Rhinolophus ferrumequinum: one gene and its partners. The protein of the gene in region 1 interacts with the protein of each later gene in a biochemical or structural test. Links are inferred from orthologs where the notes say so. Each region holds a gene or a part of one and is shown in the gene's direction. Other genes may lie near its edges.

Region 1 (7,917 bases):
AAGGAGCATAATGTAACTTAGATGGCCCCCTTAAGGAAGAACCCCCACCAACGGGGAAACTAGGGGCTTCTACCCAAGCTCTTCCCTTTAACTACACCAGCAACTGGTGCTGGGTGCCAGGGAACTAAATCGCTGGGCCCTGGTAACTTTCCCTACCATTACCCCAAATGGTGGTGGGATCTTGTGGAGTGTCTTATACCAGGGCTGCCCAACTCCTCCATGTTTCCTTCCCACTCAACGTTTGCGTATCCAGAGGACTCCAGTAACAGGGAATAGGACCTTTAAGAAATGAAATGACCAAGAAATGGGGGGTATGAGGGAAGAACCTTGTCGCTGGGTCTTTTGCCACCCTTAGCCCAAAACAAACAATACTTCAATATCCGATGATATACATTCTTTTCATATTTCAACTTTATTTCAAACATGAGGTGTTTTATCCAGAAGGGAGAGCAGGTACATAAGGCAGCTGAAGTGAGGCACAGTACTAGCGGGTCTGGGGCCCAGTGAACAGGGCTGCACTATGAAGGGGGTGAGGAAGCTCTGGGAGGGCCTGAGTTCTCCAGGTCTGCTATTCAATGGGTGGATTATTCAGTGTTTTCAGCAACTTCATTTTTCTTTAGCAATATCACCAAAGAAGTGCCACGGCTGGGGACACACAAAAAACTACCAGTCCCTTTTGTTTTTCCTTATGCCTAGATGGGGAAGGGAATGGAAACTAGTAGCAAAAATGAAACATTTCTGATGTTATCCTTTGCCATGAAAAATGGGGGGATCTAACTGTGCAAAGCCCTATTTTGTACCCTGGAAATGGGATGTGGTCAGGAGGCCTAGGTTAGCCCCATCTCAAGCTGCACTGAAAAATCATCTGACCCTGTTGGGAGTCACTTCTCATCTTTGGATCTGTGTCCTTACTCGTGGAGGATCCAGTGATCTCTAAAGACAAGCCTTCCCAGGTCTGATTCTATGACATGTGGATTACAAGAATCCAGAGGACCTCCAGAGAAACACAGGAGTTAGTAGCAAGGAATGTGGGAGTTAGATTGGAAAGTTGAGGGGTTAAGGGTTATGCTGAAGAGAAATGATGAACTACATTCATAACGAGAAACAAAGGAAATGAAGGAAGGCTATCAGACCTCTGAGGTCTGGATGAGAGGAAGGGCAACAGTGCTCCTGCTGTGTTGCTTCAAGGACCCAAGCCCGGCCACGGTCATGGTTTCTCATGGCACTTCCGACTCCACAGCTCACGTTATACCCTAAATTGCTCCTGTTCATCGAGTCATCAGCCTTTAGAGGCAAGTCCCTACCACAATGCCTAACACAACACATCCCTGCAGATTCCCCCAAATTCCTATTGTTTACCTTATCAGATTAGGCTGTCAGCTCACCCCAAGGCCCTGGAGCAGCACTATATGAGAACCAGAAGACTTATGTGTTGGGTCTGTAAAGCTGAGAACGGGGGGCATGAGTGAGCCACAGTATTTCTTACAGAGAAAGAGCTCAGGGAACAATGGATTATCCTTGGTTCCCTGCTTCCAACCAGCTTGCATTTCTCCACTCAGTAATGCCAGGACTCTCAGAGACGGCCAGAGCACAGAGCATCCAGTCCTAGTTGGGGAGCTTTCTAGGAGAAAGTTTAGGCAATTGGCCTGTTCAAGGCTAGTGGTGGGTATGGGAAGGGGGTGGCACACCAATAGGTTGGAGGGTTGACTAAGGCCAGGGGAGAATCCCATTGTATGGAAAGGCTATAGTTCAAATGGGTTCCAAGTTCTCTAGCAGGCAGGCGAGTTAGTCCCTTGCTGATTCTTCAGATCTGGGACACTGGCATAGGAGACAGCAAGCTCCAAAAGGAGCAGATGAAGTTTGGGACCCTCAGTGCATTGCCTTCTCCAAGCCACTTGGGGAGACTGGGAGGATGGGAAGACAGAGCACTATTATAAACTGTGTTATTTTCCTAATAAGATGATATATGGCAAGGTTTTTAATGGAAAAAATATGTAACATCATGTTTATGCACTGGAGCTCTGGAGATTTTTTGGGTTCACAATCCTAGCTCTGCCTGTACTAGCTATATGATCTTGAACAAACTACTGAGTTTTTCTGAGCTGTTCCCTCTTCTCTAAAACAGGGATGATATTACTCAACTCCTGGGGTTATTTTGAAGATTATAATGCAAGCAAGATACCAGATTTAGTGGGTAAGTAAATGTGAGCTATTATGATTGTTAATACAACATAACAGTAATGCACACACATTAAGCAAGATTACTACACCCTGAGCCTTGACCCAGTCTCCCTCTCCATCATCCTCCCTTGGGCTCTTCACTGATAACTAAGTGCATTGCTTGGTGGCTTCCAATACAGTTTCATTCTTCACTCTGCTGGAACTTTGACCCGAAGGTGATCCATAAGATGTATGAAATTGTTTTCACCAGGTAAGAATGATGTTTAAATGGCCCTTTGTTTGAGGAATGACTCAGAGTTCCTCTTTTTCAGGCATCTTTCTTCAAAGGATTAAGGCTTTAGGTAGGATGGGCATGGTAACAAACCCCATACTCTATTCTGAATGCTTGTACAGGTACACCTGATGCACTCTCTCACTTACTGATAAGGAAGAAGGGGATCCAGACATTTTTCTTTGAGAAATCAGTAACAGATATAAAGGGGTGGGGAGCTGGTTACCTGGGAGCTCCTTGTTCATTTGCATCAGGAACTGCTTCTTTTCCCTCTTCTCCCTTCTAGAAGACTGTTAAGGAGGAGCCTGAAGGAGGAAGGTGGATCTACCATGGTCTTGGAGAAAAGCAAGTAGGTTCTCCACCCCTTCTGGAGGGACAAGGAATAGCACAGATCAACAAAAATGAGAAGGAAGCAATTGGAAATAGAGAAAATGAAGGTAAGTACTCTATTATGCTAAAAGAAAAATGGAAGTGAAAAGAGAGGGACAAGAGAAAAGCAGAGCTTAGGAATAGGGTAAGAGGGGGGGGGAAAACCCCAACAACTAGCAGAGGTTAACCAGGAGAGACATATGGCATGAATGTGTAGGGGTAAGAGTCCAGCTTTCCCATTTCACTTGCTCAGGATATGGAGCACACTGCCATCTTCTGGTGCCATTTAATTTTCAAGTTGTTTTGATTCTTGAAGTGCTTTCTATTTCTTATACACGTAATCCCATATCCTCACAAGTTCCCCAACATTATTTCCTTTCATCTTTGGGACTCCCAATCATCATTTCCCCCAAGAGACCTTCCAAAAGCTGTCTCAGAGCATCCAGGCTGGAAGTCTGTGAGGGCCAGAGCAAAAAGCAAGAGGCAGAGGATGAGCTGTGGTTTGAAAGAAGCCTTAATACCCAGAAGCTGCAGGCTGGTTTGGGGAGGCTTCCTGGCCTTGGAACATTTGTGTCAAAAACTGGAGGACCCATCCTCAGCCCCAACCAAACACTCGGGGTGCTGTGCATTCTGAACTGTAGCACTCCAACTGTAGGGTGGAGAACGTGGCTTCTAATCTACACTCTGCTACTCACAGATCATAAAATGTCAAAGCAAGAAAGGGCCAAAAGAGATCACCTAAACCAAATCCAATTTACCCAGGAGGAAACGGGGGCCCAGGAAGGTGAAGGAACTTGCCCAAAATTATACAGCTAGTCAGTGACTTCCTAGTCTTGAGCAGAATCAGAATAGTGATTCTTGTGATTCACAGTCCGTTGATAAATACAGTCCATAAAGTGCTTAGAGGTCATTAGAAGGCACCCAGAACAATAAGGCTGGCATTTTTCTGGAAGCCCCTGAGTGTAGCAACCCATTAGCCGCCGCGTTATTTGGCTACAAGCACAAGTCTGGAGTTGGTTTTGTCTTCATTTACACACCCCCAGGGCTGCAAAGAGGCTGGAGGAGGGAGCTCTGACTACTATCTCCCATCACTCCCCATCCAGTTCTCCAATACCCAAGCCAGGGACTGTCAGGGGTGACAAGGGAATCCTGTCATAATGCCAGGGATTGGGGAGCAATGGCCAGTTTCTGGGATTTCAGCAAGGCAACTATAGCTGAGTTAAAGCTAGGATGGACAGGGTTGGGGGACCTGAGATGGCAAAGGTAGATAAGGGAAAGAGCCAGCAATCTAAATGACTTCAACTGAGGGGGCTGCTACTTCACGCAACACACCAGCTCAGCCCCAGAGGGCTGCCCTAACCTTCCACTGCCTAGGCCCGCCGAACTTTCTCCCAGTGCCTGCTCACGGAAGAGAACGTCACCATACTCCTTAGTTTTCGCTTTTTTCGAATCCTCCTAGCGCCCTTTCGGGTCTCCTTTCTCCGGTACCTTGGGTTCCGTCTACTCACATCTAATCGGTGTTTTCCACCCCTATCTCCCCGACCTTCGCTGATTCCACCCACTCCCCAAACCCCTTTGATGTCTCCCGCACTTGACTCTCTCGGACAGCAGCCCGCCAAATCTTTGGGCACCCCTAGCCCCCAGGTGCCTTTGGTTTTTTCACCGTCGGCCGCAGGCGTCTCAGATAAAGTGAATCCAGCCCTGAGGCTCCGGGGTTCCAATACTGCCCGGGTGCTCGGGCCCACGTAGAGCATAGTCACGGCCGCCGTTGTTGTCCCAGAACTCGTGGCCTGTCACGCGGTAGCGCAAGGCGAAAAGCAGGGCGCCCCCAACGGGCGGCGCGGGCAGGCGAAAGGCGAAGCGGTCCGCGCGTGGAGGGGGCGGAGCCGGGCCGGCGTAGGCCGCGGGCGCCTCGCGTTGGCTCCGCCACCCGTCGGCGCTCCAGCGCACGCTCACGCGCTTCTCGTAGGCCAGGTCCAGCACGCGCGCGCTCCCGGCCACGCCCAGCGGGCCCGCCTCGGCGCGTTCCAGGCAGATACGCTGCGCCTGCAAGCGGGCGGCGAAGCCGGGCTCGCTGGCCGGCTCCAGGGCGGCGCGCGCCTCCTGGGGACGAAAGAGGGAGAGGGAGCACCGAGCCCTGGCGAAGGGAGGGCAGAGAGGGGCGGGGTCATAGCGAGTAATTGGACCAATCCGACGCCGACCCCGAAGTCCGGGCCCTCAGAGTGCGGCCAAGCTGCGAGAGTGGCCGATAGCCCCTCGCCAATGGGAGCCCCAAAAGGGACGTGCAAGAGCAATCCCGGGGGTGGAGGTGGATATGGGTATTCCTTGATTAATCCACTCCCCCATGCCCGCCGCGGTCGAAATGGGGAGGTCCAGGGAGAGGGCGTGCGTGCACCTGCCGCCTACCTGGAGGCCGCGGGCGCGGGGCTGGCACGGCGCGAAGTGGCGGAGGGCGTCCCTCTGCAGCTGGATCTGCACGTGGCGGGGCACCCGGGGCAGCTCTCCAGGGCGGAAGCGGCGCACGGCGGCCAGCTCCAGCCCCAACGCGTCGGCGAAACGCACTCTTTTACGGGTATCGGGGCTGCGGCTGCGAGGCGCCCGGGCACCGCCGCCTCCGGCGGGTGCGGAGCGAGCCCGGCGGCCCCGACTCGGAATGTGAGCGCGCGATCTGGCCCCGAGGCGCGTCCCGCCCTCGCCTGGCTCCTCCTCCGGCTCCTCCTCGAGGCTGGGCCGCAGGCTGCGGTAGTAGGCGCGCTCAGTCAGCGCGGCGATGAAACTCAGGTTGCGGGGGATGTCGGTGCGGGGGGGCCGCTCTCGAGACATGGCATCCCCCGCCCCGGCAGGGCCCGCCCGCAGCGCCGCCTCTGTGACCTCGCTCCGAATGGCCCACTCGCCTGCGTCCACGCAGAAGCCGCCGGCCCGCTTCAACCGCCCCTCGCAGTTGCGTACTCTCCTTGCTTTCACTTCCAGGATCCTCCACCTCCCGTAGTTCTGCTTTGCCTTGGTGACTACCTTTCCTTCCCTCTTGCCGTCAGCTTCCAGGGTCTTAGACGATCACCTCCTGTCTCCTGCTAGCTGTCTGCTCTGAGCGTGCGCTCAGCAGCACACATCCTCGGGTCTCGCGGCCGTCGCGGCCCAGGCCCCCGCCCACAGCCCTCTGACAGGTGGCTCCCATCTGTCTGCGTTGCTGCACTAGGGGGCGGGGACTCCACCCTTTCCGTCCTGGGTGAGACCCTCTGCCCTTTTAAATTTTTTTTAACGACCTCAACCTTTTTGGCATGGGATGAGTTAATGAAGGATGTAAAGAGTAACATTTCCTTTTCTTGCAGGGGAAGGTTCAAAGCGCTCAGTGTGTGACTTTCTCTGCAGGGCTCACTGTTGTCTAAACTCTAGTTTACAGGTTTTGGTGAGGGGGGGCGTTGCAAAGAAGGGAAGGTCATGAAAACTAGGCAGAATCCCAAATAAAAACAGACGCGGCCCACAAGGGTGGGTGGCCCATTGGAAAAAGTTCTGAACTAAAAGTCGTGGAAAGACAAAGCTTCTGGTCTCACTTCTGGTGCTAGTTAGCGGTGTAATCTTGAGCAAGGCACAACTTCTCTGTAACCTCAGTTTTCTCATCTGTAAAAAAATGGGTTCGAATTCTGATCTCTAACCTGACTAAGCCGTTTGAGGACAGAGCATGTGTCTGATAGTTCATAACAGTAGTAGGCCTTTAAATTATCGAATGAATGAACACACCACACTCTTGGAGCTGGGACTATAGGGTTCTAGTTCCAGTGGGAGGTTCCAAGAAGGGCACAGGGCCGGTGTTTTTCTTCATTTTTTCCTACTTTAGTGAAAAGAGCATGTGAAGTTTTGTTTATTTTTTTTTTCTACTTCCCACTGATCTTATATAGCACTTATAGTTGTAATAGTTTTACAAACATTAACTCATACCGTGCAGCCATCATAGGAGCAGGGAGTCTTATTATGGCTATTTTTACAGATGAGAAAATTGATGGAGAGAGGGACTAAGACTCTTGCCCAAGGTCACATAAGATAATAATTAGGGAGCTGGGATTAGAACCTCAGCAGTCCACCTCTGGAGTCCACTCTCTTATTTACTTGTTTATGTAAGATTAAAACAGTTAATGGTAATAGTTAACATTTTCAGAGTATTGAAGTGGGGAGTCTTAGAATAGAAATGGAATCTCTAAATTTAAAACAGCAGGAGAGTTTAACTGTAAATAGTGACTAAGTTGGAAATAAACAGGGAGACGTATACTACCTTATTATTGTAGAATTCATTCCTGTTTGCATTTTAACTTTAGTATTAACTATAACAATACTGTCAAGCCAGGACTGATTTTTAAAGTGATTCAATTTTATTTTTTTATTTAATAGGTATGTGTATAACCCATGGAATATTCTTTTTATATCTTAGGGTATAAAATAATGTTACACTACTTTGTTTTACAGTCAAGCAGTTTAAAACTGTCTTCCTTGCTCTGGTAAAATATGTCATTAACGAAATAGATAAGGTTCAAGGTTAGCCTATGTGGCGTGAAGTTTTCTGGTAAAAACTCTGTTGCCTTGTCTACTGTTGAGCTGCCATTCCTTGGCTCTGTGGTGTTGGTTTGAGAAGATCCTTGAGGTACACAGCTTTGGACCTGATGTAATTTGTGTTGGTCCAGCACCTTGTTCTCCTGGCAGCTCAGACTGACATTGAACCTTTATTCCAAATCAGTCTTTGTTTCTTAAACAGCCACTGCAGTTATCTTCAAACATCTGACTGGGCCTGCTTAATAACTGCCAGAGGCATTGACTGATTCATTCAGTCAACATTTACTGAAGTTCTGTTAGGACTTGAGGACATAAAAGTGAATAGACTTCAGTTCCTGCTCTCACAGAGCTTATAAATAAATGGCGGGCAGACAGAAATATATTTGGACCCTGAGACTTAAAAATATTTTTATTTCAATTAAATGTCTTAGAAGAAATATTGCAAATGAAGAACTAGACTAGGTTATTCTCAAAAGAAGGCAGCAACCTTGCTGGTAGAAGCAGGAATGATCAGCCTAAGAGCAAAGAAGAAATGAGGATGGTTGAAAGGATAC
Region 2 (7,618 bases), on another chromosome or scaffold:
GGCACAGGGGCCTGGGGTGGGAGGGACTGGGGTCTGGGTGTTCTGGGGAGAGGTGGAGGAAGATCACGTCTGTGGGGTAGAGTAGAGGCTGTGGTGGTGGCTGCTTGGTCCCAGCACCTGGGAGAAGAGCAGAGGAGTGGTCCGCGTCTGGCTGCCCCCGCACCAGCCTGGCTCCCGCCCGATGGCGCCGTACCAGTTGCTGGAGCCTAGGCTACCAGACATGCTATAGGCAGAGAAATAGGGTCAGTCCCAAGGCAGTGACCAGGGCCATATTCCTAAGAGTTGGGGGAGAGAGGCTTAGAACGGAGCCCAGTGATCCAGACCTCCAAGACCCAGGGCTTTAGCCCTGCAGACTATGACAAACTGCATCCTCAGGGCGAGAGGTGGAAACCAGAGAGGCCCCCCCAGGACAGATGGAAACAAAGACCACGGCCGGAGCTGGGAGCTGGGTGACAAGACCTGGCTCTAGGTCCCCATGGCTCCATGGAGCAAGCCGGGAGCCCATGGATCCTGAGATGGGGTCCGGGCTCCTACCTGGTGCTCTCGCCCCGGCTATGCTCCCAGGAGCAGCCCTCGTCCTCGCAGTGCCCAGCCCGGTCGAAGAAGTAGGAACGGGAGCCAAAGACCTGCCCATTGAGGATGCGGCTGGTGCTCTAGGGAAGGAAACTGCCATTGATATTCTCTCCTATCCACCACTGACCTCCCATAACCCACCAACTCCAGGCCCCAGCCCAGGGAGTCCCAGTGCCACCCCTCTCCGCTGGCCCTCACCAGGTCCTGTGGAGGCCGGTGCACCCGGAAGAAGCCCACCAGCAGTGTAGTGGGTAGCAGCTCCCACACAAAGAGGATCAGGCCAAACACCAGGTAGCCTTTGTTCCCCAGGTCATTCACCAGGTCCGCCTGTGGGAAATCAGAGGCTTGTGGCAATCTGCAACTGAGCCGGCGGGGCACCTGGCCAGGGCCCAGGCCAGCTGGGGGCCAGGAGCCATGGCTACTACCGTGTTTCCCCGAAAATAAGACTGGGTCTTATATTAATTTTTGCTCCAAAAGACGCATTGGGGCTTATGGTCAGGGGATGTCATCCTTAAAAATCATGCGAGCGCTTGTTTTTGGGGAAACACGGTAAGGAGGCAGCAGATGTGCCCAACACCCACCTGGTCAGAGACGTTGTACCAGTCATAATCGAAGGCATCCAGTCGGCTCCGAGGGGCCAAGGCCAGGGCTGCCAGGTTGTAGCAGGCTCGACTGGCATAGAGTAGGACCATGGCACCACCCATTGCAGCAGCCTGGCACACACTGGTCCCCTGGCACAGATGACAACAGGGGACCCTCAGGGAGGGGAGGCTCCAGCTTCCCCTCTACCCTGAAGATCAATGTCCAAAGACCCCAAAGGACACCAGGCATCAGGGCTTGTGACCCTACCTTGGCCTCCAGGTAGATGCTGGTGGAAGGAGCCCGCCGGGCGACAAGGCAGAGGCAGGCGGCAAGAGAGAGCGCGCAGATAACAAAGAGGGAGTCACTCACTAGGACTCGAACCAGCAGGAGGGCCCAGGGCTGTGCCCGGCGCTGGCGGGACAGCACAGCACACAGCACATTCACCAGCAGAAAGAGCAGCGAGGCCCCCACGAAGGCCCCTCGAACGGCCAGCCTGCAGCCCACAGCACAGTCAGCGCCAGCCTACCACCCTTGATGCTCACCCACCACCCAACCTCCCCCAGGAGACCCACTGCCAACCAGAATCTCAGGGCATCCAATCTGAACCCTACTCCTTCAGTTTTATAGATGGGGAAACTGAGGCCCAAGGAAGTAAGAAGGGGACTGATACCTGTGGTACAGTGGAAGGAGCAGCAGATGGGAGTCAGAAATCTGAGTTTAAGCCCTGGCTCTGCCTCCAGCCAGGTCTATGACCTTGAACATATTGCTTTACCTTTATGGGCCTCGGTTTCTTCATCTCTCAAATGGGGATAATAATAGCCTCACACATAAATTGTAAAAATTAAAGCTGTTTGTGAAAGTTCTTAATAAACTGTAAGATATTATACAAATGACAGGAGTATTGCCATCCCAGGTCACCCAGAATTGCTTTGGCTTTGGAGCTTTCAAAGGCTAGGGCCTCCAGCTCTGCCTCCATTATGGATGACACTGGTACCCATTCCCCTCCCAGTTTCTATTATTGTTGCCCTTCACATATGCAATGTCTCTGCTGAGCCATCTGTGACAGGTGCTTCACTTTTCCAAGTTCTTTCACAAACATTCCCTGGGTTGTCCTTGCTTTAGCCCTGCTACGGGGGAAGGAATGGACACCAGGCTGTCCCCTGCCCCTGGCCTGGAGACTGAGCCACCAGTGTCCCAAGTACTTACAAGCCTCGGCTCATCTCTGGCCGACGCTTCGCCTTGGCCTTGAACACCACCTGGGAGCAGAGATGCCCATCATTCCTTTCGGTCCTTGGGGCTTGCCACCCTACAGCCCACCCCCACTCATTACCACAGTTACCTGGGCAAAGTAGAGATTCATAAGCGTCAGTGTGAAGAACTGCAGGCAGACAGGGCAGCAGTAGAGAAGCCAAAAGGGCAGGGGCCCCAGGCGATTGGCTCGAGGGGTATCTCGGAAGTAGAAGGAAAAGAGGGTGGTACGCAAGGCAGCCCAGAGCAGACAGAGTGCCAGAAACACCGTCTGATAGCTGAGTCGCTTGTGCCCATACAGGAGTACCAGCCAGAGCTGGGCATAGACGGAGAAGAAGAGCAGGGCATACAGAATCGTATAGGCCGCAGTCAGCCCCAGGGTCACTGCCGGTGGCAGCGCAGGCACCAGCCCAGCAGCAGGCACCAGGCCAGACAGGTTACTCTCCATGTCAGGGAGGGCGGCCTGAATCCTGAGACAGAGATGGAAGGGCTGGCAGGAGGCCAGGAAATAAAAATAAATAGGGGGTGGCGGTGGGAGTTGCAGGGTGCAGAGACAGCAATGGGGGAGCTCAGGAGGAAAGAAGTTGTGGCGGGCCAGGCTCTCACCAGCAAGAGGTTGCGAGTGTTCGCCCTTGTGGTGGGGCAGAGGCAGCCTGGCACTTGGCCCTGGGCCCCTCACTCAGCAGAGTGGAAAGGCAGTCTCTTCTCCAGGGCTGAGGGGGAAGGTGGGGAGTGTCCCCTCCCTGGGTCAGTCTTGAGCCAGGAGCTGAGGGGTGCAGAGGCTGAAGGACAGAGGTCCTTGGCCTCTCACTCATGTAGTCCTGGCAGGAGGGGGAGAGCCGGCCGATGCCGGTAGCTCAGGACAGCGGCCGCCGCAGGGGGCGTTCAACACCCAGCTCTCCCCTTCCTCAAACTGGGGGGGGCTCTCTCTCCTCCAATAATCCGGATAGGATAGGGGGGTCTCTGCCTTCTGTCTTCGGGACTCCGGACGCTGCCCCCAACCCACCCCCCACTGCGTCCACTCCCCAACCGCGGGAGTCGGGAGGAGGTCGACACCAAGCCCTTAGACCGCCCCTGGGGGAGCCGGATCCGGCCGCTGGGACCCGGGACTCCGGCTCCCCGGCTCCGCCCCCTCCTGCGCCTGCGCGGATACCGTTCACTACGCAAATTGCGCAGGATCCAACCCCCGGCTCTGAACCCTGCGCCGCGCCCGGCGTGCAGTCGTTCGAGAATGGGCGCGAGCTACGCCGCTAGCGGGCGCCAAGGGTTACAAGAGGCGGCGCGCGGTCGAGGAGCCGGGGCGGCGGTAGATCCGGCCGGCGCCGGGATAGGCCGTTCCCGGGGCCAGCGGCCCTTGCTTGTTTGCGGGGCTGCCCGTGGGCCCACCGGCCTTTGCTTATTTGCGGGGCCGCCAATTCCTACGCGTTTCTTCCCCATTCCCAAACCGAGATCGCGCCGTCAGGCGGAGGGCCGCAATGACTTCCCCTCGCCCGGTCTCTGAAGGAAACTTCCGCCCACAGCCAAGATGGCCCCCGGGCCCCGCCCTCTGGCCCTGAACCCGCAAAGCCCGTAGTTCCCGCTCACCTGGCGGGCCGCCTGCCAGGCGCGAAGCCCCCGCGAGTCCTACGGCCACCTTCACAGGGGTCCCTATCCCTTCTCCTGAGCCGGGACAGTCATCCTGCCAGAGAGGAGGCTCCCTCTCTCATCTCGAGTGTTCCTCAGATGGCGCGGGCAGTGGTGCCCCTGATGCGGGCACTGCGAGGTTTCCACAGTGGGGAGGAGGGATTCAGTCACCCAGTCTAGACGGAGCAGTGACAACAACAACAACAATGCATCCAACGGCTGAGCTTCAGTTACGGCTTTGCAGAGTGCTTTCACCAACTGTAATCACTCGGTTTACAAAGTTCACTGGCTCCCGAGGGAGGTGTCATTATCTCCACTTTACAGGGGTGGAAACTAAGGTCCAGAGGGGCTGAAGGACTTGTCAGCAGAAGCTAGTCCCCAGGTTCCAAATTCTCTGGCGACCCCAGAGAATCCCTTATCTGCTCCCACACACGCCCCAGGCACGAGGAAGCCGGTAGAAGAGCATCCGGAGGCGAAGGAACTCAGGAGGAAGGCGTTGGGAGGGGAGCAGGTCCTCAGGCAGGGGCGGGGCCCAGGCCGAGAGTGGCTCCGCCTCCTAGCCAGCCCTAGTGACATTTCAGTAGCTGATTGGGCTGGGTCGATGACAGTTCCCGTTGCCCAGGCAACTAGGGCAGGGCTCCCCCAGTGCTGTGGAGGGAGGCGCAGGCCCCGGTCCGGGGCCTCGAGATCGGGCTTGGGGTGAGACTGGCTTGCGGTCACCACCGGCGGGTCGGGCCGGGTCGTGGGGCTCCACAGCACCAGGGCTCCGAAAGGAGATTTAAGTCCTGGGTGGACAGGCTGAGCTCCCTGCCCAGCCAGACTCAGTGTACAGATGGGGGCCTGGGAGGCAGGGCGGACCTGGGGTTCTAAGGTGGGAGAGGGAACCAGGGACGCCTGCTCCCCGGCCGCCGCTGGCCACCGTTTGTTCCAGTTGTGCCCTAACTACCTGCCATCTTGCCCCCACAGCCCAGAGCATGTTCCAGATCCCAGAGTTTGAGCAGAGTGAGCAGGAAGACTCCAGCCCTGCAGATAGGGGCCTGGGCCCCAGCCCCACAGGAGACCAGCCCCCAGGCCCAGGCAAGCACCTGTGTACGGCCCCGGGCCTCCTGGGGGAAGCTGGTCACCAACAGGGACAGCCAGCCAGCAGCAGCCACCATGGAGGTAGGCACCGCCCCACAACAACCTGCCTGTCCACTTTTGCCCCCAGCCCGGGAGCTCCTCAGCATCTCAGCTGTATCCATACTCACTGGGTAGCTTTGAGTGAGTCCCTAACCTCTCTGCGCCTTAGTTTCCTCTTCTGTAAAACAGAGCAATTAGTCACCACCATTGTCGGGCTGTTAGGATGATTAGCAGAACATATAAGAAGTACTTAATTACAGTGTTGGCACTTACAAAATACTCAAAGAATGTAGTTGTTAGTGTAGGACCAGAACAAATCACTGAAAGGCAGGCAATGAGCCAGAAAAGGGAAGTGACTTGCCTAAGGTCACACTTGTTTAGCGGTTCCTTTGGTAGGAGGCAGGGCTGAAGTCTCTGAGGTACCTGCCAGAGGCTGCCAGCCCCCAGGTCTGTTTTCAATCCACCCTGTTCTCATGCCCACTCCAGGGCTATCCTTGCCAGTTGCCAGGGGCAGCTGACCTCAAGAGGCAGATAGCCCTACCAAGAGTCTGTGTGGCGGTGAGGAAGCATAGGCTGTCTTCCACACCCACAGAAGGGGGCCCAGCGCCCAGACAGACGGATGGGCACTGGAGGACAGTGGCCATTTCTCAGTAGTCTCCACTCCCCAGGGCCCAGCACAGGCCTTGGCACAGGAACCACCTCAGAGATCTTCTGAAAACAAAAACCACGTCCCTTGCCTGCTGAAGCCCAAATGACTTCCTCCCTATTTTTAGGACCAAGAAGGCTTAGTAAGGCCTCCTCTTGGCCCATTCACACACACTCTGTCAGACTAAACTCCAGACTTTAACTTCCAGATCTTTGTACTTGCTGTTTTTCTGCTCACAACAGCTTTCCACCCTCACCTGGCTGTTCCTGCTCTATATCAAGTGCTTAATCTGTGCCCCAGCTGTCCCAGCTGCCAGGGGCACATCAGTGAACAGAAGAGATAAAAGTCCTTGCCCTTATGGTGCCTATATTCCAGTCGGTGGGGAGAGACGGGCCATAAAGAAACAAACGAGTAAATGATATAACGTGCTAGAAGATGGCACACACTGGGCAGCAGTGTGAGAAAGTCTACTTTCTCTGGATCTGATGTACTGGGGGCCAGGGGAGCAATGTGAATGGAGGTGGCCAGGGTCAGCCTTGGTGAGAAGCAACATTTGACCACAGGCTGAAGGGGATGAGGCGGGAACCACTCAGATATCCGTGGGGAGAGATCCTGACAAGGGAAAGGCTAATGCAAAGGTCCTGAGGCCACTGTGGCCCAAGGGGACAGGGGTGGCGGCGGGAGCTGGAGATGCTGGAGTTAATGGAGGGGGAGGGGGAGCTGAACAGGGCCTTAGTGGCTTTGGCTCTTCCTTTGAAAACATGGGAGGGCTTTGAGCAGAGTGGAGTGATCTGATTTGGGCATCAAGAGAATCACCAGGGCTTGTGTTGAGACTGGTATGCAATGGGCAAAAGCAGTGCTGGGACTGCAGGGGAGTCTGCCTCAAGAGTCCCAAGGGAGGACAGTGGCTTGTGCGAGGGTGGTGACAGTGCAGGTGGTAAGCAGCTGGACTCCGGGTTTATTTTGAAGGTAGAGCTGGCAGGATTTGCTGGCAGATTGGATGTAGAGTTCCAGGGAAAGAGAGGAGTCAAGGATGGCTGCAAGAGGAATCTGGCCGGGGCATCTAGAAGGATGGAGTTGCTCTTAACTGAGATGGGGACAGGTAAGATCAGGAGCCCAGTGTGGGCCAGGTCCAGTTAGAGGTGTCTTTTGAGCATCCAGCTGGCGATTTCTAGAAGGGAAGGGTCCAGGCAGGATATCTGCATGTGGGAGTTGTCAGTCACTGATATAGTGTTCTGTGAGGCACAGGGAGCCACCCAAAAGTGAGGGTAGGCAAGGGGTGGGGGTTGAGGGGAGAGAGGAGCAGGTTTGGAGTCATCCTGGAGCGTGGAGCTGGGTGTGCCAGGCAATGTCAAGGGGGCCGCTGGGTTTCATGGCCGTGAATGTAAACCAAGCTGGTACATGGCTCCAGCCACAATGGCCGCTCAGGTGCCGGTGGGAGCTGGCAGGGGGTTGATGTTCACCAGAGCTATGTTCATCTCAGCCCAGCGAGAGAGGCAGGGCCTTGAGGCTGTGTGCAAGGGAGGGAATAGTTGGTGTGGGTGTAAGCTGGCTGGGTGGTGAGGAGAGGAGCCAACCCTGGAGTTCTCGCATCATTAGAGTTGGGGTACCAAGGGAGTGAGCGGACAGGGAGGAGGTGGTGGTGAGCCTGTGGGAAGCTTGTGATGGAATTATTGATGGTGACGGGGTCTAAGTTCTTGCCATGGGATGAGAGTGAGGGGAGGGGTGGAGACGGATGTCAAGGAAAGGAAAGGCTAGGAGGTAGGAAAGGACCACTTCTGTCCTATGAACGAATGAAGACAGGAATGGCAAAGGAGACAGTGGTAG
Region 3 (7,817 bases), on another chromosome or scaffold:
GAGGGAAGAAGGGACACAGTGACCCCCAACTCCTACATGACCTCGGACAGGAATGATGATTGTCAGGCACTGCCTGCAACAACCGTTTGGGTTGGGTGTTGCCCTCCCCATTTCCCAGAAAGTAAGGGAAACTGAGGCTCCGATGTGTTAGGCCGTGCTGGAGCTCACATAGCTGAGAAGGGAAGTCCTTACCCCTCATCCCCCAGCATCCATGCCCCTCTACCCTGCAGCTCAGCTGGCCTCTCCAGACCTCAGTCTCCTTGCCTGTACAATGGGAATGTAATAAGGCTTCCCAACAGTTCTGCCCACAGAGGGCCCCACTGACTGTGGAGTCATATGGGCCGGATGTGCAGACCACAAAGTGAAGGAGGTGCTGCTAGCCAGCTGCAGGGGGAGAGGGCAGCCTGGGCACTTCTGCCAGTTGCACGGAGGTTGGGATGCTCCATTCAAGAGCCCTGGGCACTCTCAGAGACTCTGGGCATCATTTCCCCTCCAGTCTGCAGCACAGGGCTTCCAGATTCCAATTCCTGAAGATCTAGTCCCTTTCCTGCTCAAAGCCCTTCCATGGCTCCCCGGTACCCACAGGACAGTAGGGCCAAACCCACCTTTCTATACCTGTTCTCCAAGGTGCCCTCAAGTACTTCCTCTTCCAGGAAGCCTTTCCGGATATGTTTGCGGCCTCTATAGGAGCTGGCTCTTAGTTTTCCCTCTCCTGAGGCACTTTCTGTCTGAGACCCACTATGTCCTCGTGTCCCAATTTTGTCTCACTGGGGGCTAGGCATTTGCCATTGTCTTTGGCTCAGCTCTAGCCTGGGACAACACCAAACAGTTTTCTTCCTCTTCTTTAAAAATAGGAAGCGATGTTTTCCTGATTACCAAGTTAATACACGTCTATACGGAAAGTCTGGAAAATACAGAAAAACGCGAGGCAGAAACCGGAGCCACCTATCATCCTTACGCTCAGAGATGACCAACCACTATTCCCATTTTGCAGTGCTACACGCCCTTCCAGACTTTTAGATGTGGATGTGTTAAAAAATGGGGGATGGTACTGGACACACTGATTTGCAAGGTGTGTTATTTCATTTAACAGAGGATGCATCTCTCAGATACAGTTTCTTTTGTACAAATGTTAAACTCTTCACCAGTTCCTACAGGCTCCTTCAATAACAGCCTCTGGTTTTATTGACCACCTATTGTGTGCCAGGCACCACGCTGAGGACTGCATAGACTTTCATCCTGACAGCAGCCCTGGGACGTGGGGAATTTCACAGGGGATGGGACTAAGGCAGCCAGGATTCAAAACTCAAGGCTGAGTGACTCCTGGCGTCCTGGCTCTCACCGACCAGGCTGCAGGTTCCCTTCCCGGAAAAGGCTTATACCCCAACCACAATTTCGCTTCACTTTAGGGGGTTCACAGATTTCCTGAAGCCCAGCTACAGACCTCCAAGTGAGATGGGCCAGAGAGACCTGGGTTGGAGCCCCAGGCCTTCAATCTCTTGTTTGTGTGGCCTGGGACCCGCTAGGATCGCTCTCCGAGGCCCAGTTTCCTCATCTGTGCAATGGGGAGACCTACCCTGCAGAGGGCCAGCAGGGGCATGGAATCACCCAGGCAACACTAGGCTCTGGATGGCCTTCGTCCTGCGAAGGTACCCCTATGAGGCGTCCACCAGGGGGGTTGCAGGTGAAATGGCCATTAGGCTGCTCTAGCTCCCGGTAGGGAGCTCAGGCCCAACTGTGGAGAGAACTGCAAAGCCCTTTGATGGGTCCCTCCTGATATTACAAAGCCTCTCTCAAAGCTGGAGGATTTTCCAGATAAGGTGTCCCAAAGCTGGGGACAAAAGTCTGGGATGGCAAGTGGAAAAACAGGGTCATTGAAAACCTGTGCTGGCGCCTGGCTTCCCCAGGTGGGCCCTGGATGCTGAGGCCAGCACTTGGCAAACATGCTTGGCCAGCCACTGCTGCTCCCCCATCCCCCAACCCCGCCCTGGACTTGGGTAGGGACTGTTCTCCATCCTGGAAGTCCCGCGTCCTCACCTCTCTCAAGTCTTTGTACTAAGGTCTACATCCTCAAGAGGCTCCCCTGACCACCCTGGCTGAAAGCTTCCCTGCCCCACTCTCCACTCATCACCTGGCTTTACTCTCCCTCGAGTGCGGGCTCTGTGCCAAGCTGCCCAGAGTCCCATCTCCACTGTCTCTCCCACTAGGATGTGGGCTTCTGACTAGAAAGCGTCATCTCTAGATTCCCATCATCTATCACGCTACCTGATATTTTGTAGGTGCCAATCAATACCTGTTATATGAATGACAAAAAAAAAAAGTTGTATTAAGGACAAAACTGAACCCTAAATTGGTGCCAGAGGGCCTGCTGAGCAGCACGTCCCTAAACCACAGAAAACTGGTAATGGCCTCAACAGGAGAGGTTTGGCTGGCAGGATGGAGGCCCCCAGGGAAAAAAGGGGCTGCCCCACTGGGTCATGGTCTTCTCTTAGAGAGCTGGGTCCACACCCAGCCCGATAGCCCTGGGACACACCAGCAAATCCCAATGGAGAATGGGAAACTGAGGCCCAGGACGGAGGGTGGAAAGGGCACTGCAGGAGGTGTAGGGAGACCCGGGCTTGAATCATCCTCTGCTTCCCACAGGCTAGGTGCCAAGTGGCATTCCTTTTACAGAGCCTCAGTTTCCTCATCTGTAAAATGGGGCCATAAGTTCTCTCTTACCTGTGCACAGACCCTTTGTGGGTGCTCTGTAGTCTGTAACATGAGATGGCCAGCCCCATGGGGCAGTTGTAAGGATTAGAGGAGACAGAAAGTGCTTAGCCCTGAGATAAGGGGACCTGAACAAGTGGTAGGGCTGCCATCATTATTGTTACTGCTATTATCATGCACAATCTAACCCAGGGCCTGTTTTGGATGATAAGAAGCCAGGGTCTTTACAGGCCCAATTCTTATTCAAAAGGTGTTTTCCTCCTCCCGTCCATTTGATCAGCATATTATCTTGGGACCTTGCAAGGCAAATAGTCTTACCCACCCCTGCCTTGAGCTTTTCCATCCCCCACCTTTCTCCAAACTATTCCCCTTCCTCCATCAGTTTTGCTGTTTACTGAACACCGGCTGTGTGCCTGGTACTGAGACCCCTCTGGAGGCATTTTCACACACATCAGGTCTTTTTGTCTCATGAGACCCTGTGTCATTGCTTTCCCTCCAAGTCTGTTTTTTCATTTGCAGAACGCATTTGGAGAGCAGCCTCTATTTTGCAGAGGTCTCCCTCCTGCCTGTAAGGCACCCTGCAGCTATTAGCCAGGGTCAAGACATCCATGCTTTGTGGGGCTCAAGATGATGTGATTTGGGAGGCCTTAAAGAAAGGATTATAACATCAGAAGAGGCCAGAGGCGCCCCAACTGGAGGGAGGGGCCTTAAAACTTAAATTATTCTGCATAGTTTACTAAACATTTTAGGATTATTTCCTCCAGAGGCCCCCTACAGCCCAGCTGGGGAATGGGGGTTGGGAGTGTTGTGTGTGTGTGTAGGGGGGAGGTCAGTGCTGTCAACCCATTTCACAGATGAGAACACTAAGGGAAAAGTAGGTAACACTGTCTTCACTTCACAGGTGGGAAGAAGGGGTGAGGGGGGCTCCACCAGGTAGCAAATGGCAGAACTAGGAGGAGGGGAGCCCCTCTTGACCCTGCTGCTCCCCTGCCCTCAGAGGCTGCAGGACTGAGGTAAACAAGCCTTGTTGTTGTGTTCCTGGGACAATGGTCACTTTGTAATTCCAGCCTGCCTCCCTCCACCTCCGACACAGACCTTACCCCACCCCTCCCTAACCAGCCCCAGGGCTAGGTCCCACCCCACCTGGAAACTTTCTGATTTCACCTCCTCCTCTGGGAGCTTTGGGGGCCTCACTGCCCACCCCACCCCCGCGTTTCCCATGAGCCCAGGAGCCCCCAAGGAGGGCATCCGGCCCCTCTACTGGAGGCAGGGAAATGGGGCTGCGATGAGTTGGTGCGGCTGGAAGGAGGCAGTGGGGGAGGAGTGGGGCGGGAAGACCCCAGGTTTGGGTAGGATGCTGTGATGCTGTTTCTAACAAAGCTTGAGTCTCAGTTTTCACAGTTGTGAAATAGACTTAAAACAGACTTAAAAATACCTAACTCCCAGGGAAGGGGAACGGGGAAGGGGGAATGGCAGTTATTATTTAATGGGTATCGGGTTTATTTTACAAGATGGAAAGTTCTGGAGAGGATGGTGATGGTTGTAAACATTATGAATGTGTTTAATGCCACTGAACAGTACACTTAAAAATGGTTAAGATGGTAAATCTTATGTGTATTTTTATCACAATAAAAAAATAAAAAACACGAAACCAAACCTCACTCCTGAGGCTGCCAGCACAAAGAGTAGGACTCCTGGAGCGCTTGAATTCACGCTGCTACTTACTAAGTAATTTTCTCCTCTTTGAGTCTCCGTTTCCCCATCGGTAAAACAGGCGTGAAAAAAGCACCAAGCCCTAGGGCTGCTTTGAAGAGGAAAGGAGGTAGGTAACCCACGTAAAGATCCTGGGTTATATACCCAAATTCGGCCAGTGGATTCAACCACCTGCATACCTCGGAGCCTACTTGTGTGCAGCCCGAGCTTGGAAAGCAGTGCACAGGGCAAAACAAACTTTGCAAGTAGTAGGCGGCAGAGAGAAGTAAACAAGTAAACAGATCACACTTGTAGCAGTTGTGTTGCTACTCGTACCTACCTGGGTCTTGGATTCAGCGCGCTGGGACTGGAGAGGCGGCCCCGGGGGCGGGCAGGGGCGGGGCTGGCGGTTTATACGGTTGCACGCGGACTGCCAGCTGCACACAGGACGCCTCCTTGCTGCAGTTCTCCCGGCACCGCCGCCAACAGCATCGCTACCCCCGACGCGAGGTGAGTACAAGGCCTGCCTCCCCTGCGGGGACCTTAACCCTGCTGCCGCCCGCCCCCTCCGCCCAGCCCGAGCCCGGCAGGTAAGCGCCCAGGCTGCCATCCTGGGTGCAGAGCGGCTGAAAGGTTGGGGACCCGTGACCAGGTTTTTCTGTCCAGGGCAGCTGTCGGGTGTGTCACTTGCGGACGACGTCTCAAAACCCTGGCTCCGAAACGTCCCCTTTCTGGCGGGGGCTCCAGCCGCGGCCGCGCGGGCCTCAGTCTCAGCATCAGTGCGATGGGCGGCCTCTCCGCGCCCCGCCCGGAGGGCCGGATGCCCGGTTGCCCTGCTCCTTTCTCCTGCGCGGCCTCCTGGGGCCGGGCTCCCTTGCCCTCCCGGGCCGTGCACCGGGCCAGAGCGCGGGACTGGCAGCCTCGGGCTGCGACGACCCAGCCCGGTGTCCACTAAAAAAGAGAAGATGGCGTCGGGCACTGTCCCCGCCGGGACCCGAGTCGCCGCGTACGTGCGAAGGGCTGGAGACAGGCTTGACTACGGGGCGCGGGGGGAAGTCCGGAGCAGGAACTTGCGCGACCCGGGCGCGGCCGCCACCCCACCTGCCCGCGACCTGCACAGGTGCGCCTTTTACAGGTGCGCCTGCGGGTGGCCGCGCACGGACCGGCCGGGGCGCTGCGGCCTGGTCTCGTGAACAGCGAGCCGGCCGGCCGGCGCTCGGCTCTTGGGGGGCCGCAGGGCGCGTTCCATCCGGTGACCGGCAGGGCCTGCCCCACTCGGCCCGAGTGAGCCCCTGTGGAGCTCGGGGCTGGGACTTGTGTGACGCGCTTAGGCCTCCTGGCTGCAAATCACTTTGTAAACCGTTAATTGTTACTGTAATTTTTGCTACAATGTGCCACCCCGGGCGGTGGGACGTTGTTGTTTTTGCTGCTGCTGCTGCTGCTGCTGTAACATTTTTCTTTGGAGCACCTGCTGCGGCTGGGCCCGCGAAAGGGTTTTCCTGGTCAGCTTCGCTCCACCTTCCCAGGAAGGGAGGTGCTCAGTCTTATCCTTCCCCCATTAGGAAGGGGATAGACGATTGAGTTCTATGCTGGCTGCACTCCCAGGACGGAACCTGATTTTACGGATGGAGAAACTGTGACTTAAGTTCCAGGAAGCAATTTAAATGCTGTCTAGCATGTAAAGCCCAGAGCTGTGTTCTGGAAGCCATGCCAAAACCCTCCTCCATTCAGCCACTTTTCACCTGTGTTGTCCTACACGGGTTACTCCACTTCTGAGCCTCAGTTTGCTCATTCTGTAAAATGGGTCCATGAGGTTTCCTAGCAGGTGTAGAGAACACCTACCCAAGTATTGGCTGTTTTTGACTGGAGTTAACACTTTAAACTTATTTCTACTTATTTTGGGCATGCCTTAGGAACAAATCCTTAGGAGTGGCACATTTTTGTACTTATTGGTGCTGTTTTTGCACATCTTCCCTAACTGGTCTGTCTGAGGCAGTGGCTGGGCCTGGGTCCCAATGTTGGCATCTGGCTGTTGTGTGGTGCTCTTCACCACTGTCTTACTCTTCTCCACTCTTCTCCTCTCTTTTCACTCCAGGATTTGGGGATTTCCCCATTTTTTGAACCTCAAGGTCACAGGGTTGTCACTGATTGATTTAGCTGTGGCTTTTCCAGCCTTGCCAACATTAGGTTGTACAAGTTTATTTTTGCTTGTTTTGGGTTTTAAACGTCTGAAATGTTTGGGGAGACTGCCTTTCAAGCTCTGGACTTTCAGCCAGTGCCTCAGAATGTCCTCCTGGGTAGGGAGAACACATTTAATCAACCTTGTAAGTTGGCCACCAGTTGATTTTTTTTTTTCTTTTGGGTGGGAACTATCTTAGCAGGGATATGTATTTCTCCAAGCACCAGGGATCCTGTGACACTTTCCATGGGATGGTGTGAGGCCTAAAATAAATGGAGTGATACGCTCAACATGGTCCCTGTGGATGTCACACGAATCATCCTTCTTTGTTAGCTCAGCTCAGTTGCTGCCTCCTCTGAGAAGTCTGCCCTGACTCTCTCATCTGCAGGTGCAGCCCTCCCTCTCCTCCCACCAGTTCCTTTGTCCTAGGACGTTATTTTATTATCTGGAGGACACCAAAGACAGTGTGAAATGGCCCGTTTGGGCTCACTTGGTGTGAGTTACATCCAGGAGAACAGGAGCCCCAAATGTCATAGCCAAGAGTCGGGGCACACTGGGGAGAGAAGCGGGATAGAAGGTTGTAAGCATGTTAACGTTGTTAGTTTCAGGTGGTTAGTAGGTGTAAAAGCTGGGTTTGCTGAGCTGCAAAGAAACCAGAGAGCACTGTTAGCACATTTTTTTTCACTTCTGATTGTCTCTCTCTAATAAACGGAAGGGTTTTGGGGAAAGGTTCCATTCAGCAGTGTCGTGAAGCTGACCTCAAAGGCATTTTCAATCCTCTCCCTGGAAAGCATCCTGTTTGTAGTGAAGCTATTAAGTTTGTAGACAGTTAATGGCTTCTTGCTTCCCCTGCCTTGGACATAGTGGCTCCCACAAGAGTCGGCTGTTTTTCTCTCTGCCCAGAACAATTCCAAGAGGTTTTAAGGAAGTTCGCGGCATGCTCGGGTTTTGTTGTTGGCGGCCACCAGGAAGCCTGCAGCGGTCCAAAGTGGACATGTGCAGCCACCCCCGCGTCCCTTTGTCCTACTGTGGTTGGTTGGGGCCGGGCCCTGGGAGAAGTACTGAACCCAAGCAGATAAGGCTCGTTGGGCCCCAGGCAGGAGCGAGGCCAGGCCTGGTGTCCATGGCACTGGGCGGGCTCAGGGAGGGCAGCTGCTTTTCCTAGTGTCAATATTAGGATGTGACAACACAAAACATCCACCAGGCCTCGCTGGGCACTGCGTGGTAAACCTGTTTT

What was found.
Region 2: the proteins of BCL2L2 (region 1) and BAD interact in a biophysical measurement, tested with the Homo sapiens proteins (4 studies listed by BioGRID and IntAct, with this or other methods). The link is inferred for Rhinolophus ferrumequinum from reciprocal best matches to the Homo sapiens genes BCL2L2 and BAD.
Region 3: the proteins of BCL2L2 (region 1) and BIK interact in a biophysical measurement, tested with the Homo sapiens proteins (2 studies listed by BioGRID and IntAct, with this or other methods). The link is inferred for Rhinolophus ferrumequinum from reciprocal best matches to the Homo sapiens genes BCL2L2 and BIK.

What each region holds. Positions count from the first base shown.
Region 1 is NC_046289.1:73,759,160-73,767,076, forward strand, and holds the start of BCL2L2 (bcl-2-like protein 2), read left to right. Parts: upstream 1-4,924; 5' UTR 4,925-5,129; intron 5,130-5,227; coding exon of another isoform or gene 5,228-5,644; exon of another isoform or gene 5,645-7,187; intron 7,188-7,917. Other genes in the region: PPP1R3E (protein phosphatase 1 regulatory subunit 3E), read right to left, coding at 4,502-4,924, 5,228-5,644. UniProt on the Homo sapiens protein: Promotes cell survival. Blocks dexamethasone-induced apoptosis. Mediates survival of postmitotic Sertoli cells by suppressing death-promoting activity of BAX.
Region 2 is NC_046294.1:7,137,522-7,145,139, forward strand, and holds the start of BAD (bcl2-associated agonist of cell death), read left to right. Parts: upstream 1-4,617; 5' UTR 4,618-4,725; exon of another isoform or gene 4,726-4,852; intron 4,853-4,992; 5' UTR 4,993-5,000; coding exon 5,001-5,187; intron 5,188-7,618. Other genes in the region: integral membrane protein GPR137, read right to left, coding at 64-223, 535-653, 772-900, 1,155-1,304, 1,423-1,648, 2,362-2,411, 2,495-2,873, 3,010-3,218. UniProt on the Homo sapiens protein: Promotes cell death. Successfully competes for the binding to Bcl-X(L), Bcl-2 and Bcl-W, thereby affecting the level of heterodimerization of these proteins with BAX. Can reverse the death repressor activity of Bcl-X(L), but not that of Bcl-2.
Region 3 is NC_046293.1:5,334,079-5,341,895, reverse strand, and holds the start of BIK (bcl-2-interacting killer), read left to right. Parts: upstream 1-4,816; 5' UTR 4,817-4,911; intron 4,912-7,817.